2 linked regions of the Caenorhabditis elegans genome follow. The protein of the gene in region 2 purifies or fractionates together with the protein of the main gene of each other region. This does not show direct contact. Each region holds a gene or a part of one and is shown on either strand. Other genes may lie near its edges. The genes, in order: wdr-48 and akt-1.

The links.
Region 1: the proteins of akt-1 (region 2) and wdr-48 fractionate together in Caenorhabditis elegans (co-fractionation; one large-scale study listed by BioGRID). This does not show direct contact.

What each region holds. Positions count from the first base shown.
Region 1 is NC_003281.10:4,576,799-4,582,307, forward strand, and holds wdr-48 (WD repeat-containing protein 48 homolog), read left to right. Parts: upstream 1-2,083; coding exon 2,084-2,269; intron 2,270-2,322; coding exon 2,323-2,449; intron 2,450-2,500; coding exon 2,501-2,592; intron 2,593-2,639; coding exon 2,640-2,834; intron 2,835-2,880; coding exon 2,881-3,087; intron 3,088-3,134; coding exon 3,135-3,322; intron 3,323-3,366; coding exon 3,367-3,539; intron 3,540-3,584; coding exon 3,585-3,691; intron 3,692-3,741; coding exon 3,742-3,840; intron 3,841-3,893; coding exon 3,894-3,987; intron 3,988-4,041; coding exon 4,042-4,189; intron 4,190-4,240; coding exon 4,241-4,432; intron 4,433-4,481; coding exon 4,482-4,767; 3' UTR 4,768-4,888; downstream 4,889-5,509. Other genes in the region: Serine/threonine-protein kinase sel-5, read right to left, coding at 1-155, 257-369, 417-569, 635-970, 1,059-1,164, 1,212-1,333, 1,417-1,473, 1,521-1,629; F35G12.12 (26S proteasome non-ATPase regulatory subunit 5), read left to right, coding at 4,997-5,032, 5,080-5,180, 5,227-5,335, 5,418-5,509. UniProt on the Caenorhabditis elegans protein: Together with wdr-20, binds to and stimulates the activity of the deubiquitinating enzyme usp-46, leading to deubiquitination and stabilization of the glr-1 glutamate receptor.
Region 2 is NC_003283.11:10,247,068-10,253,522, reverse strand, and holds akt-1 (Serine/threonine-protein kinase akt-1), read right to left. Parts: upstream 4,619-6,455; 5' UTR 4,568-4,618; coding exon 4,464-4,567; intron 3,669-4,463; coding exon 3,560-3,668; intron 3,486-3,559; coding exon 3,297-3,485; intron 3,252-3,296; coding exon 3,090-3,251; intron 3,045-3,089; coding exon 2,847-3,044; intron 2,683-2,846; coding exon of another isoform or gene 2,491-2,682; intron 2,197-2,490; coding exon 1,990-2,196; intron 1,847-1,989; coding exon 1,718-1,846; intron 1,671-1,717; coding exon 1,308-1,670; intron 1,252-1,307; coding exon 1,072-1,251; 3' UTR 678-1,071; downstream 1-677. Other genes in the region: rop-1 (RNA-binding protein RO60), read left to right, coding at 1-254, 311-607. UniProt on the Caenorhabditis elegans protein: Acts downstream of PI3 kinase age-1 and kinase pdk-1 in the daf-2/insulin receptor-like transduction pathway.

The sequences.
Region 1 (5,509 bases), on a different chromosome or scaffold from region 2:
GATGGGACTTGTTGAGACAAAGAAGCCATTTTGGAGCTTGATTGAATTGGCGGAGCTTCAGGATTTCGTGGTGATGAATCTCTTTTGTTACGTGGATTCGATCCATCTCTCATCAATTGAATACATGATTTTAATGAAGGAACTGCGTCGGTGCACTGAAATATTTAAATATATTGAATTACTTGAATAAAACGACCAAATTCAATGATCATAGCTGGTCAAAATTTTACTAAAAAAATATGTTCGGTTGACTAACTTTCTTATTTTGAATCTCTTCTGAAAGTGGTTTCCGATGATTCGCTTCAAACGCCAACACTGATGTTTGATATATCGATGGTCGCCGATTTACGTCGATATCGAGAAGCATGTCTAGAAAATCAAGTATTTTTGTTCGTATTTAAATATCATTTTCTTACAAATCAAAACTTTGATCTCGTCGGGAATATTTGGAACGGATGGAAATTGATAATTGACAGATTGAATTGCTAACGGTGATTCTTCGAAAGGAACACAGAAAAAGCATAGCCTGTATAGAAGAACGCCCAGTGCCCAGATATCAGATTTTAGGCCTGAAAAAATAAAGAATTCGACTTTTTCATTGCATTCCTTCAATTTTTTAATACTAAAAACGAACCAATCTCTAATCCACTGTAAAAATCAATCATTTCAGGCGATCGATAACACATAGTCGTATTCCTTTCCACTTCTGACTTCACATATTCTACTCCATACTTTTCCACAGATAAAATTTGAGTGGTAGCACTTCCAAAATCGCAGAGAACGTAATGTGGTGGTTTATGGGAAGAAATGAGTACATTTTCAACTTTTAAATCGCGATGAATGATAGGTTGTGGCCGATTATGAATGAAGGATACGGCTTCACAGAGATCCGTGAAAATTGAGAGAATCTCGTCGTTTGTTAAATATTGGTTTTGAGATATTCTTTCGTTCATCAATTGCAAGACGTTTTCTGGAAAAAATATGATGATTTTTCAAAGTTTTCCATGTTTTATTTAATATTTTAATTATGATTTATTTTCCGGTGTTATCTCACTCACTTTGATGATATTCTGTCAACAGCATGCATTCCCAAATACCATTTCCAAGGCAATTTGTATAACTGTCAACGAATTCCACAATATTTTTATGACCAATACATTGTTTCTGAAAGATCATACAACATTTGCAAGTTTATTCGAGCTTCTTCTCACCAGAAAACTGTGCTCTCTGCAACATGCCTCCAGCTGTTTCTCATTGTCTTTGGTGAATTGACGTTTCAAGGCGAATTTATTGTTTTTTCTATCGCTCGCAACGTAGACGATTGCAAATCCACCTGGAAGAAAAATATTGCGAAATATTCAGAAAAACAAGAACAATTATGGAGTTTAATAAGAGGATTAAATTTAAAAAACCTACCTTCGGCGATTTGCTTCTCTATAGTGACTCGTGTATGGTCTAACTTCAATGTGACACCTGAAAATTCAATTAAAAATGAAAGAAACTGTTAAATGTTCAAATACCTTTGCATTTATTCTCACTTAATTGTTTCGGTTCCTTTTTCTTGCCTCCAGGAATTTTTTCATCACACAGAACTTGTGCTTTTCCAGAGCTGAAAAGCCCTAGAGGCATGGCTTTTCGCCTGAAATTAGTAAATTTTAATAAAAGAGTTTCAATATTTGATGAGAGTGATATCGAAAAACGAAAAATTTTCATCAAAACTAGATTTTCTCGAGCGAACAAATTGATCGACAGGAGAAAAGAGTGTCGGAACGCAGGGAGGCGGGGCGCAATAATGGGCGTGGCTGAATTGCAAACATGCGGCGCAGTTTTTGTTGTCTTTTTCGCACAGAGCTCTTTTAAAACATGTTTTGTTGTTTTTATTGACAAAAGTCTATAATTTGCCGTATACTTTTGTTTTTCTTCATTTTTTTTTCTGAAAACCATCATAACATTCTATATAAGATACCGTTAATTAATTTTTTGCATTAAAAATAACTTTTTTCTCGCAAATCGATGAATCTTTTAACTAGAAATATTTGTCATCACTATTTTCCAGATCTCAAAAGGCGTTCAATGCAATAAAATGAGTAGCTGTGTAAATACCAGTCAAACTGGTCCAAAAAAGAAAATCTCATTTATCATTCGCGATGAGCACGAGTATTCAAATCGTTCGGCTGTCAGTGCTCTGCAATATGATGCACAAAACGGAAGACTGTTCACTGGCGGCAGTGACACTATAATCAGAACATGGTCAGTGCCACACCACAAGGTTTGATATATAAACTATGAATTCTAAAAAATACCGAATAAATTCATGATCAGGACGCTTTCTCGGCACGTGGCGGAGTTCGTTCGCCAGGAAAGAATTCTCCAGTTCAGTATCAAGGATCATTAGAACAGCATACCGATTGGGTGAACGATATGATTCTTTGTGGACATGGAAAAATTCGTGAGTGGTTTTGCGATATTTCTGCAAATTATATAAATATATTTCTTTCAGTAATTTCGGCCTCAAATGACACAACTGTCAAAGTTTGGAATATCGAACGGGACAACAAGCACGGATTTATCGATTGTATCCGAACTCACAAGGTTTGTGAAACTTTTCTCTTTAATTATTAAGAATGAATAAAATTCAGGACTACGTTAGTTGCTTGGCCTACGCACCGATTGTAGAGAAAGCTGTGAGCGCAAGTTTCGATCACAATATTTTCGTGTACGATATCAATGCTAACTTCAAAACTGTAAATAATCTAATTGGCTGCAAGGACAGCATCTACTCACTCGCCACAACTCCTAATTTATCGCTTGTTCTTGGTGCTGGAACGGAAAAGGTGAGGAATTTTAGCATTCTAGCCTTCTACTAGTTTTTATTTTCAGTGCATTCGCCTTTTCGATCCAAGAACCAATGAGAAAATAATGAAATTACGTGGTCACACAGATAATGTACGTGCGCTGGTGGTCAATGATGATGGAACACGCGCACTTTCTGCTGGATCAGATGCCACAATTCGACTGTGGGACATTGGACAACAGAGATGCATTGCCACGTGTATTGCTCATGAAGAAGGAGTTTGGACTCTTCAAGTACTGATCCTCTCTGATAAAATCTTATTAGAATCTATGATTTTTAGGTTGACTCATCGTTTACAACGGTTTACAGCGCAGGAAAGGACAAAATGGTTGTGAAAACTCCGTTATATGATTTCACTAAAAGTCAGCTTCTGTTCAAAGAAGAAGCCCCTGTGAAAAAGTTACTTTTAAGTGAAAAAGATAATCCAGTATCTCTTTGGGTCGGAACCTGGAAGTCTGATATCAAGCGGTAAAAGAATTATTTTATTAAAAAAATAAACTTTCAGTTTTCAGCTGGTCCATCCGCCCATCAGCCCAACTTTCGATTGGAGGAGACGAAGATGGTCCTTCAACTTCAAATGCAAATCACTCAGTATCAGCTTCATCATCACCTCCAGTAACATTCAAGTATATCCGAGTGAAGGATCAAAAAGGACAACAGAGCACACCAGAGCTCGTTATTCCTGGTAAACAGACTATATGCAGATATAATTTTTAATCTGTTTATTCAGGCGCTCCTGCCATCAAGAAACATGCCATGTTGAGCGACAAACGACACGTTTTGACACGAGACTCGGATGGAAATGTGGCGCTATATGATGTTTTAGCAGCAAGAAAGGTTTGTCCCCATTATTAAAAGTTACTACTTGAATTTTGATAAAATTTCAGATAAAAGATTATGGAAAGCGAATATTTGAAGAAGTTGTCGATGAGAACTCTAGGCAAGTATACATTCCAAGCTGGTTTGTCGTTGATTCAAAAAGTGGAGTGAGTTTTAAGTTTTATAAATTTTTGAAAAATAAAACCCTATTCGATTTCAGATGCTCCAAATCACTTTGGACGAGCTGGACGCTCTCTCCTCGTGGCTTTCATCAAAAGACGCAGGTTTTGATGATAATGATCGAGAGACAAAACGTAAGATATTATACGAAAATAAAAACTTTCTCATTCCTTTGTAAGAAATTATAGTGAATTACGGTGGAATGATGCTACGATCACTCTTCGAACGATGGCCACCTTGTAAAATGACAAATGTTGATGCAGCTGATGCAGATGATGTGCAAAAAGCAACACTGAATTTTATTTCTCTACCGGAACACACACCGCTTATTATTTGGTAAAATTATTTGAAGGCTCAAATTTTAAACATTAAAAAAACTAATTTCAGCGAAGGAAATGGTCGTCCGCTCTACCGTCTTCTTGTTGGCGACGCTGGGAAGGAGTTCGAAGCAAATGAGCTGGCACAAATTGCACCCATGTGGGTTATAGACGCAATCGAACGAAATCAGCTGCCGAAATTCAATAAAATGCCATTTTATCTTCTTCCACATCCGTCGACAAATCCCAAACAGCCTAAAAAGTTTGTGAAAACGCGGGGTTCATTCATTAAAATTTTGAACTATTTTCAGAGATCGTCTGTCAGCAACTGAAATGCTTCAAGTTAAGAAAGTGATGGAGCATGTTTACGAAAAAATACTCAGCACTAATGATGGTAAGGTATTTAGAAATAAGAAGATATTAATGGTGTTTGAAGATATTACAGTTGGCTCGATTCCACTAAATCAAATTCATACAAAAATGGAAATGTACTGCAATGATCAGAGGTTGGAGCCGGATATGGATTTGCGAACAGTCAAGCATCTCTATTGGAAGCAAAGTGGAGAGCTTCTTCTACATTATAAACCAGTTAAATAGCTTTAACATTTAATTTAAGTTATTTATTTGAACATACTTATCTAACATTTGTACTTTATTGAAAATTCACTGTCTAACTTCTTTTTTGATACGGGTAAAACCGACTTTCAATTAAATTCCATGCTCTTTCCATATGTCTTTCTTTCTTTTTTAAAATTATGATGGTTTAACTACCAGCTTATCTTCATTTCTTGCTTAATATTTTTACCTCCTACCGTATTCGTTCCAGATGGCTAGTTTGGAAGAACATGAAAAACTGATCGAAGTAGGTTTTATTGAAATTTCTTCCAATTTTAAGCCAATTTTTTTCAGGAGTGGAGAAACGATTACATCGCAGAACGCAGTTCGAAAAAGGGATGGGAGATTCTGGAAAAACTTGCAAAGATGCAAATTGAAGCGGCTCAGCAAATGGAGTACGTTAAATGAATATCAGATAGTATCAAAATGAAATTATTTCAGAACAGAAGATGACGTGGCCGCTGCTGATTTTGATGACTTCAGCACCAGCAAGCTTGTAAAATTGATTATTGGAGATATTTCAACCAAAGATCTTCTTGTCGATCATCAGGTACCTGACATCAATTTTTAGACTATTCTAATCTAATAAAAAAAAATTCTAATAAAAATTGTAATATCTCAATCTTTTACAGATAATTCTTCTCGAATTCATTCCATCTGCACATCCGAATATTCTTCGCCATGTAGTCCGCACAGTCCGTGAGAAGGAAGGAGCGATTTCCCT
Region 2 (6,455 bases):
TCTACAAGGCATTCGTGAATGCACCACCAACTGGAAAACGATACTGCTTGGCTCTCGATGTTTCTGGTAGCATGACCTCTCGTGTCAGTTCGTCACCACTCTCATGCCGTGAAGCTGCTACCGGAATGTCTTTGATCAACCTTCACAATGAAGCCGAAGTTAGATGTGTCGCCTTCTGTGATAAGCTCACTGAGCTTCCGTTTACTAAGGATTGGAAGATCGGACAAGTTAATGACTACGTTAACAACCTTGATGTAAGTTTCATAATGATTTTAATATTGAATTTAATATTAAATTATTGAATTTTCAGTTCGGCAGAACAGATTGTGGCCTTCCAATGACTTGGGCAACAGAAAATAATCTCAAGTTTGATGTCTTCATTATCTACACCGACAACGATACCTGGGCTGGAGAGATTCATCCATTCGAAGCCATCAAAAAGTATCGTGAAGCTTCTGGTATTCATGACGCGAAGGTCATTGTGATGGCAATGCAGGCATATGACTACTCGATTGCCGATCCATCTGATGCTGGTATGCTCGACATTACCGGATTCGATTCGGCTGTACCACAGATTGTTCACGAGTTTGTTACTGGAAAGATCTAATTTATAGTACTGATCTGTTATTTATTTCGCATGTTTCTTTGTTCATATTTTGTCATTCCATAATAAAAATACGAGGATAAAATTCTTTCATTTGGATTGTTGGATATGATATAGGAACATAGTACATCCACGAATGATGGCGCTATTTGGTTTTCACAACCGTAGCTTGTGAGTAATATTACAAAACGATGATGGAATTTTGAAATGGAAAGAACTACGGTCTCAGGTGAATAAAAAGGATAGTATACAAAGGGAAGGAGGCAGAACAGGAAGAGATGAAAACAAAGAGATTTCTCATTTTAATTCGATATTTACTGAGAATAGATCAAAATATAGTCACTGTAACGACTAAATATTTGTTTAAAAAAGGATATCTGAATGTCAGACAAAGGGGTCAGTTTTCTACAGTCTGCAAAACAGGCTAAAATCGCAATTAATTAAATTCAAGCCATTGTGGTGTCAAATTATCCCATATCATAATCTTCGTTGTCTTCACTTGCTTCATGAATTCGATTGATACTTCCCATAACATTGTGGAATGAGAATTGTGTGAAGTTTGATTGCATTTCTTCTTGCTCATCGACTGTAGCAAGGGCTCCGCTTCTACTAGGCGGTGTCAGTTGAACTGGTTGAGATGTGAATTCCTAAAATAAAATCTTTGTTTCTAGTGAAAAAATTTAAAATGTATTAGTCAACTCACATTATCAAAGTAACTAGTATCAGTTTCTGACTGCACATTTGGCTTATATGGTGGCTCGATTTCTTTTCTGTACGTTGCTTCCCAATCGACAGTACGGAAAAAGTCTGCTCTACAAATCTCCAATGCATCTTCGGGTCCACCACCCAATCGCTGAGTTGGATCTTTGACAAGAAGTCCGGTGAGCAAAGTTCTAGCTTCTTGACTCAACTTGCTTGGGAACCTTAGATCACCAGCCATGATAAGTTCGAATAGTTTATTATGATCCTTCGAATAAAATGGAAGCCTTCCACACATCATCTCGTACATCACAACTCCAACTCCCCACCAATCAACACAACGTCCGTAGTCATGATCATCAAGAACCTGCAATTAAAACATTTAAATGTGAGAAGTGAGTGAGATTTTTTTACCTCTGGTGCAAGATACTCCGGAGTTCCACAGAAAGTACTTGTTTTGTCACCAAAACTGATTTCTTCTTTACATAATCCAAAATCCGCAATTTTAATATGTCCATCTTTGTCAAGAAGCAAATTTTCAAGCTTAAAAAATATAATTTAACTTGTATACAGACTTGGGGAAAATCCGAATGGCGAGCCGATAGTTTTCTTAGTTTTTACATGTTCTACAACTATCCGCTATGTGACTACTGTATTCTACTTCTATAAATAAACATTTTTCTAACCTTCAAATCTCGATAAACAATGCTATTTGCATGAAGATATCCGAGAGCAAGGACGATCTCAGAGCCATAGAAACGGGCTCGAGGTTCTGAGAAACCCTCTTTGTTCATCTGCACTTCTCGATTTAGATGATAATAGAGATCACCGCCAATGGCAAACTCCATTACGAAACACAGACGATCGTTTGTTTGAAACGAGTATTTCAGTTCCTGCAGTAATACAGAAATAAAGCGTGGAAAGAGAATAAAAACTATAGGGTTGCGAACTAAGAAGATAAATTAGTGAATCGGAAAAGAAGCGTTACCATAAGAAGAAAAAAAAGAAGCATGACATAAACTGAGACATTACTACTTACAATGTAAAATAAATAAGTTGATAGCATAACGTTCTAAGTGTTTGAATCTTGCTATCCTACGTAAAATTCAACTGCGGATAGTTGTAAAACATTTTTGAAACAAAATAATCTATGTTCGGCTCGTCATTCAGATTCTTCATCGTCGAACCTTCATATCACGGTAGACAATATCGCATCGGTGAAGGTATCCGAGAGCAAGAACGATCTCGGCTCCGTAGAATCGGGCTCTTGGTTCACTAAATGTTCCACATTTACGTACATGCGTAAAAAGTTCTCCACCATTCGCAAACTGCATCACAAAACAAAGATAGTGTTGCTCTTGGAAACTATATTTCAGTTCCTGAAAATACGACCACAAACACTATGGGAAAACAATAAAAATTACGACAATAATTGTACTCTCAGGGGTAGAAGATTATAGGAGAAGGACGTGCTGGGGTTAAAATTTAAACAAAAGTGAGTGAACTGAATCAATAAATAAAAATAGTTTTATAAAAAACATACCGTAAGGAACGGATGCTTGCATCTTTGAAGAACTCGATTTTCTGTCAAAGTGTGAGCAACTTCTTCGCGAGCAATGATTACATCTTTTTTGAGAATTTTGATGGCATAAAGCTTTTGAGTACGCTTTTCCTTGCACAAGATAACTTTTCCGAATGTTCCTTTACCGAGCACTTTGAGAAAATCGAAATCTTCCATTGTCTGTAATTTTTTTTGCAAAGGTTTTTATCAGATAGGTTTTCTTACGATTTTGTCTCTTTTAGCAGCTTCGCTGGTGTCAGCAATACTAATCATAGACGCTCTGAAGTCAATTGAACAATTATCACCGTGTCCCGAAGATGGTTGACCCATAATTGCATGCGCTGCACCAGCAAATTCACTGTCTTCATCAATTTTTGGCTGCTGATTCTAAAAGAATTTTTCAAAAAAGCTGGATCAAGGTGTAATTTTTACGGTTTCCATTAATTCCTCTTGTGGATTTGCATTTGTGCCTTTGTATTTTTTTGAAATGCTCTCAATAGCATGAATCCAACGCTGACGAACTTCTGCCGACTCCGCATAGAATGTTCGCTCAATGACAGTTGTCCACTGAAGGCATCTTACCATGAACATGTTAGGTCGTGGTTTTTCGAATAACATTGTCTGAAAATAAAATATTGCAAAAGTAGATGATTTTGCAGAATGATGTTTAGAAAAATAAGCTCATCTCTACTTACCGCTGCATCCTTGATCATAAAATCATTCAATGGCTCAGGAAACGGTTGTCCTTCCTTAGGCTTTGCTCGAAATCCAAGTAAGGCTCCATCATTGAATATCATGAAGTATCTGAAATTATTCTACGTCATTAACTTTCAATCTTTTATCATCTTTGTTTTTTTTGTTATGTCACTCTGACGAGTTTCTTTTTAAAATGTTTTCAGTCACTCTCAACTTCCGCACTCACTCATTCTCTCTTTTTTCAATTTGATTATTTTTCGCATCGCTCACTCGCCGTTCACATGTGTTTATTATTTTGGAACATTAAATGAGAAGGGTGACATACTTATGGATAGAAGACATGCACACTCAAAAACAAAAAAACCATCCAAAAATACTGCACAAAATCGTGTTTTTCATTTTTTGAGTTTTCTGTAATCACAACAGTTTCACTTCCGTGTTGCTATTATTCAATTTTTCAATGTACTGTCTGTTAGGAAAATGATATACGTTTTTAGCAATCGTGAATATTTCATAGATATCTTTAATTTTCGGTTAATTTCAGTCGTTTGAAAATAATTATATTCTGAAGCGAATAGTTGTACTATGTAGCGTAGCAAACATAGAATCATCTGCTCTACCAGGAAGTCACATCATTCCCCCTTCATAAAAACGTTTATGAAGATTTTTCAGCCGGAAAAGCATGATAAGAGCGAGTGCGCGGCAAAAACAAATCAGTTGACGTATATGATGAAGCGGATATATGAATTTATGTAGAAAACAAAAATAAAAAGATTAACGAGAACAAGACTCATCGGAGTTTTCAAGATAAATTTTGATGTGAAATCATTAACTAACTTTTTCGAGCATAAAAATTATCGAATCAGTGGTAATATATGATCAGTACCGATAGAAAAATCAAACCTTGGTCTCCAGTTTCGAATGTGCTCTCCTTTCTTGTGAAGCCATCCCTCAATGACAACATCTTCTTGTCTTCGAGACTTCGTTGACAAGCTTGTCATCGACATTCTTTCACCGGCGCCGTCGTAAACCTTTCGGGAGAAGTAACGTCTTCGACTGAAAATTAGAATATTTTTTGATCGAGATTCATTATGTTTTTAAGAAAATCAGTTTTAACACTTTTAATTCGAAAATGAAGGAAAACATAAAAAAAAAGAAAAGCGAAAAAACACACGAGAGAGTTTTGTGACAAACAAAGCAGAGGGACGGAAATTGACAGAATTTGAAGAGAGAGACATAGGAGTTTAGAGAAAAAAGAGGTGGTGACCCTATTTCAGCGGAAACAAGAACACGAAAACATTTTCAGACACTGCCCAGCAACAACATCATGAGTAACGCTGCTGCTTCAGAATATCGTTTTCTGAGTGTTCGTCTGTGGTTTTTTGTTTTCCAACAAGGAAGAGATAGGAGAAGCAGAAATAACGGGAACGGACAACCAGTGGAAAATAAGAAAGAAAATATCGGTTTTCTGGAATTGCCCGCTTGGAAAACAAGATTATTTCTACGATAACACCATGCCACTGATCATAAATTTCAAGTTTTTGATCTCTGGCATTTTATACACATCGATACTGTATAACATGCAAACAGAAAGTTTACCTGTGATGTACGAGCACTTTTGTTATCGAAAAATCAACAAAACAACGTGAAATAGAATAACAAATTAACGGCAAACAATTTTTGAATAGGGATACTATGAGAGCCGAAGTATACAAGCGAAAAAAGACCATATTGGTTGAAGTTGATAAATTTTCAATAGTCTGAGAACCATTTTACGGCTGTATAAATATACAAAAACGACTTATTTTTAATTATTGGTTTTTAACTCAACCTTATTAGGCATTCAATTTACGGAAATCATGTTAATTATTATTTCTCTAGAATTTCTCTTGAATTATAAGCCACTTTAGAAACCCTATAAACGAAAAAAAATTAATCGTGAGAAAACATTAAGAGACGGAGAATGAGAAAGGAAGAGATGAACCACGCGGATTATCATCACGTAAAAACAAGAGGAGAGGTTTTGATACACTTTTCGCAGTTAGTGATTAGGCCACTGCCTCTTGTCTGAGCTTTCGAAGAGAAACAGATTATTATGCACCACGACTGGCATACGAACATACAAAAAAGCGGGGTGATTACGCCATGGGAGAAGGAGCGGAACTGGAGCACATACGTGGAAAGACGCAGACGGAACGTGCCTAAATTTAATCGATCGGAACGATATATTAGAGACATAATAATAACGAATTAACTGTTAAATTGGGAATATATTTGAAAAATAGACACTTTTTCAGATTTTTTTTCAGTAACAAAATTAGAAAATCTTCGAATGTGGTTTCAATGCCATGATTTTTTGATTAAGTGAACGCGAGAAAAACCGGAAAATAAGAAGGAAAAGCAACAAACAGAGGCGCCGATAGGGTTAGACCGGGTCTTGAACTGACGGTCTTGAGACGAATACAAACAACTTGATGAAGGAAAAAGAGAAAGTATGTGGGTTGTTGATGAAATCTCCAAAAAAAAAAAAAAATAGAAAACAAAGTTTTTCTATCTAATTAATTTTTGAAAGCATTGAAAAGCTTTTTTAAACGTTTTTTTTTAAACAGGAACGTTCGAAAACGAAAAAAAAAACGGTTGTGTTGCCAGACTCCGGTTGAGTTAGATATCGGGCACGAATATCGGTGTTGCCAGTAGTATACAGCAGTACGGAAAAGTGCACGTTTCGATCAAAGGCCGCGCGTGCTTTGCTTCGCGGAATGGATGATCGGTGACGCCGGACGGAGAGAGGGAACAGGCGCGGCGTCGAGCCGCAGACAGAGCGAGATAGTACATGCTAGAGTTGTTTACATCCCAAAACGAAAACGAAGAGGCTTCGCGACAATTGCAAAAAAT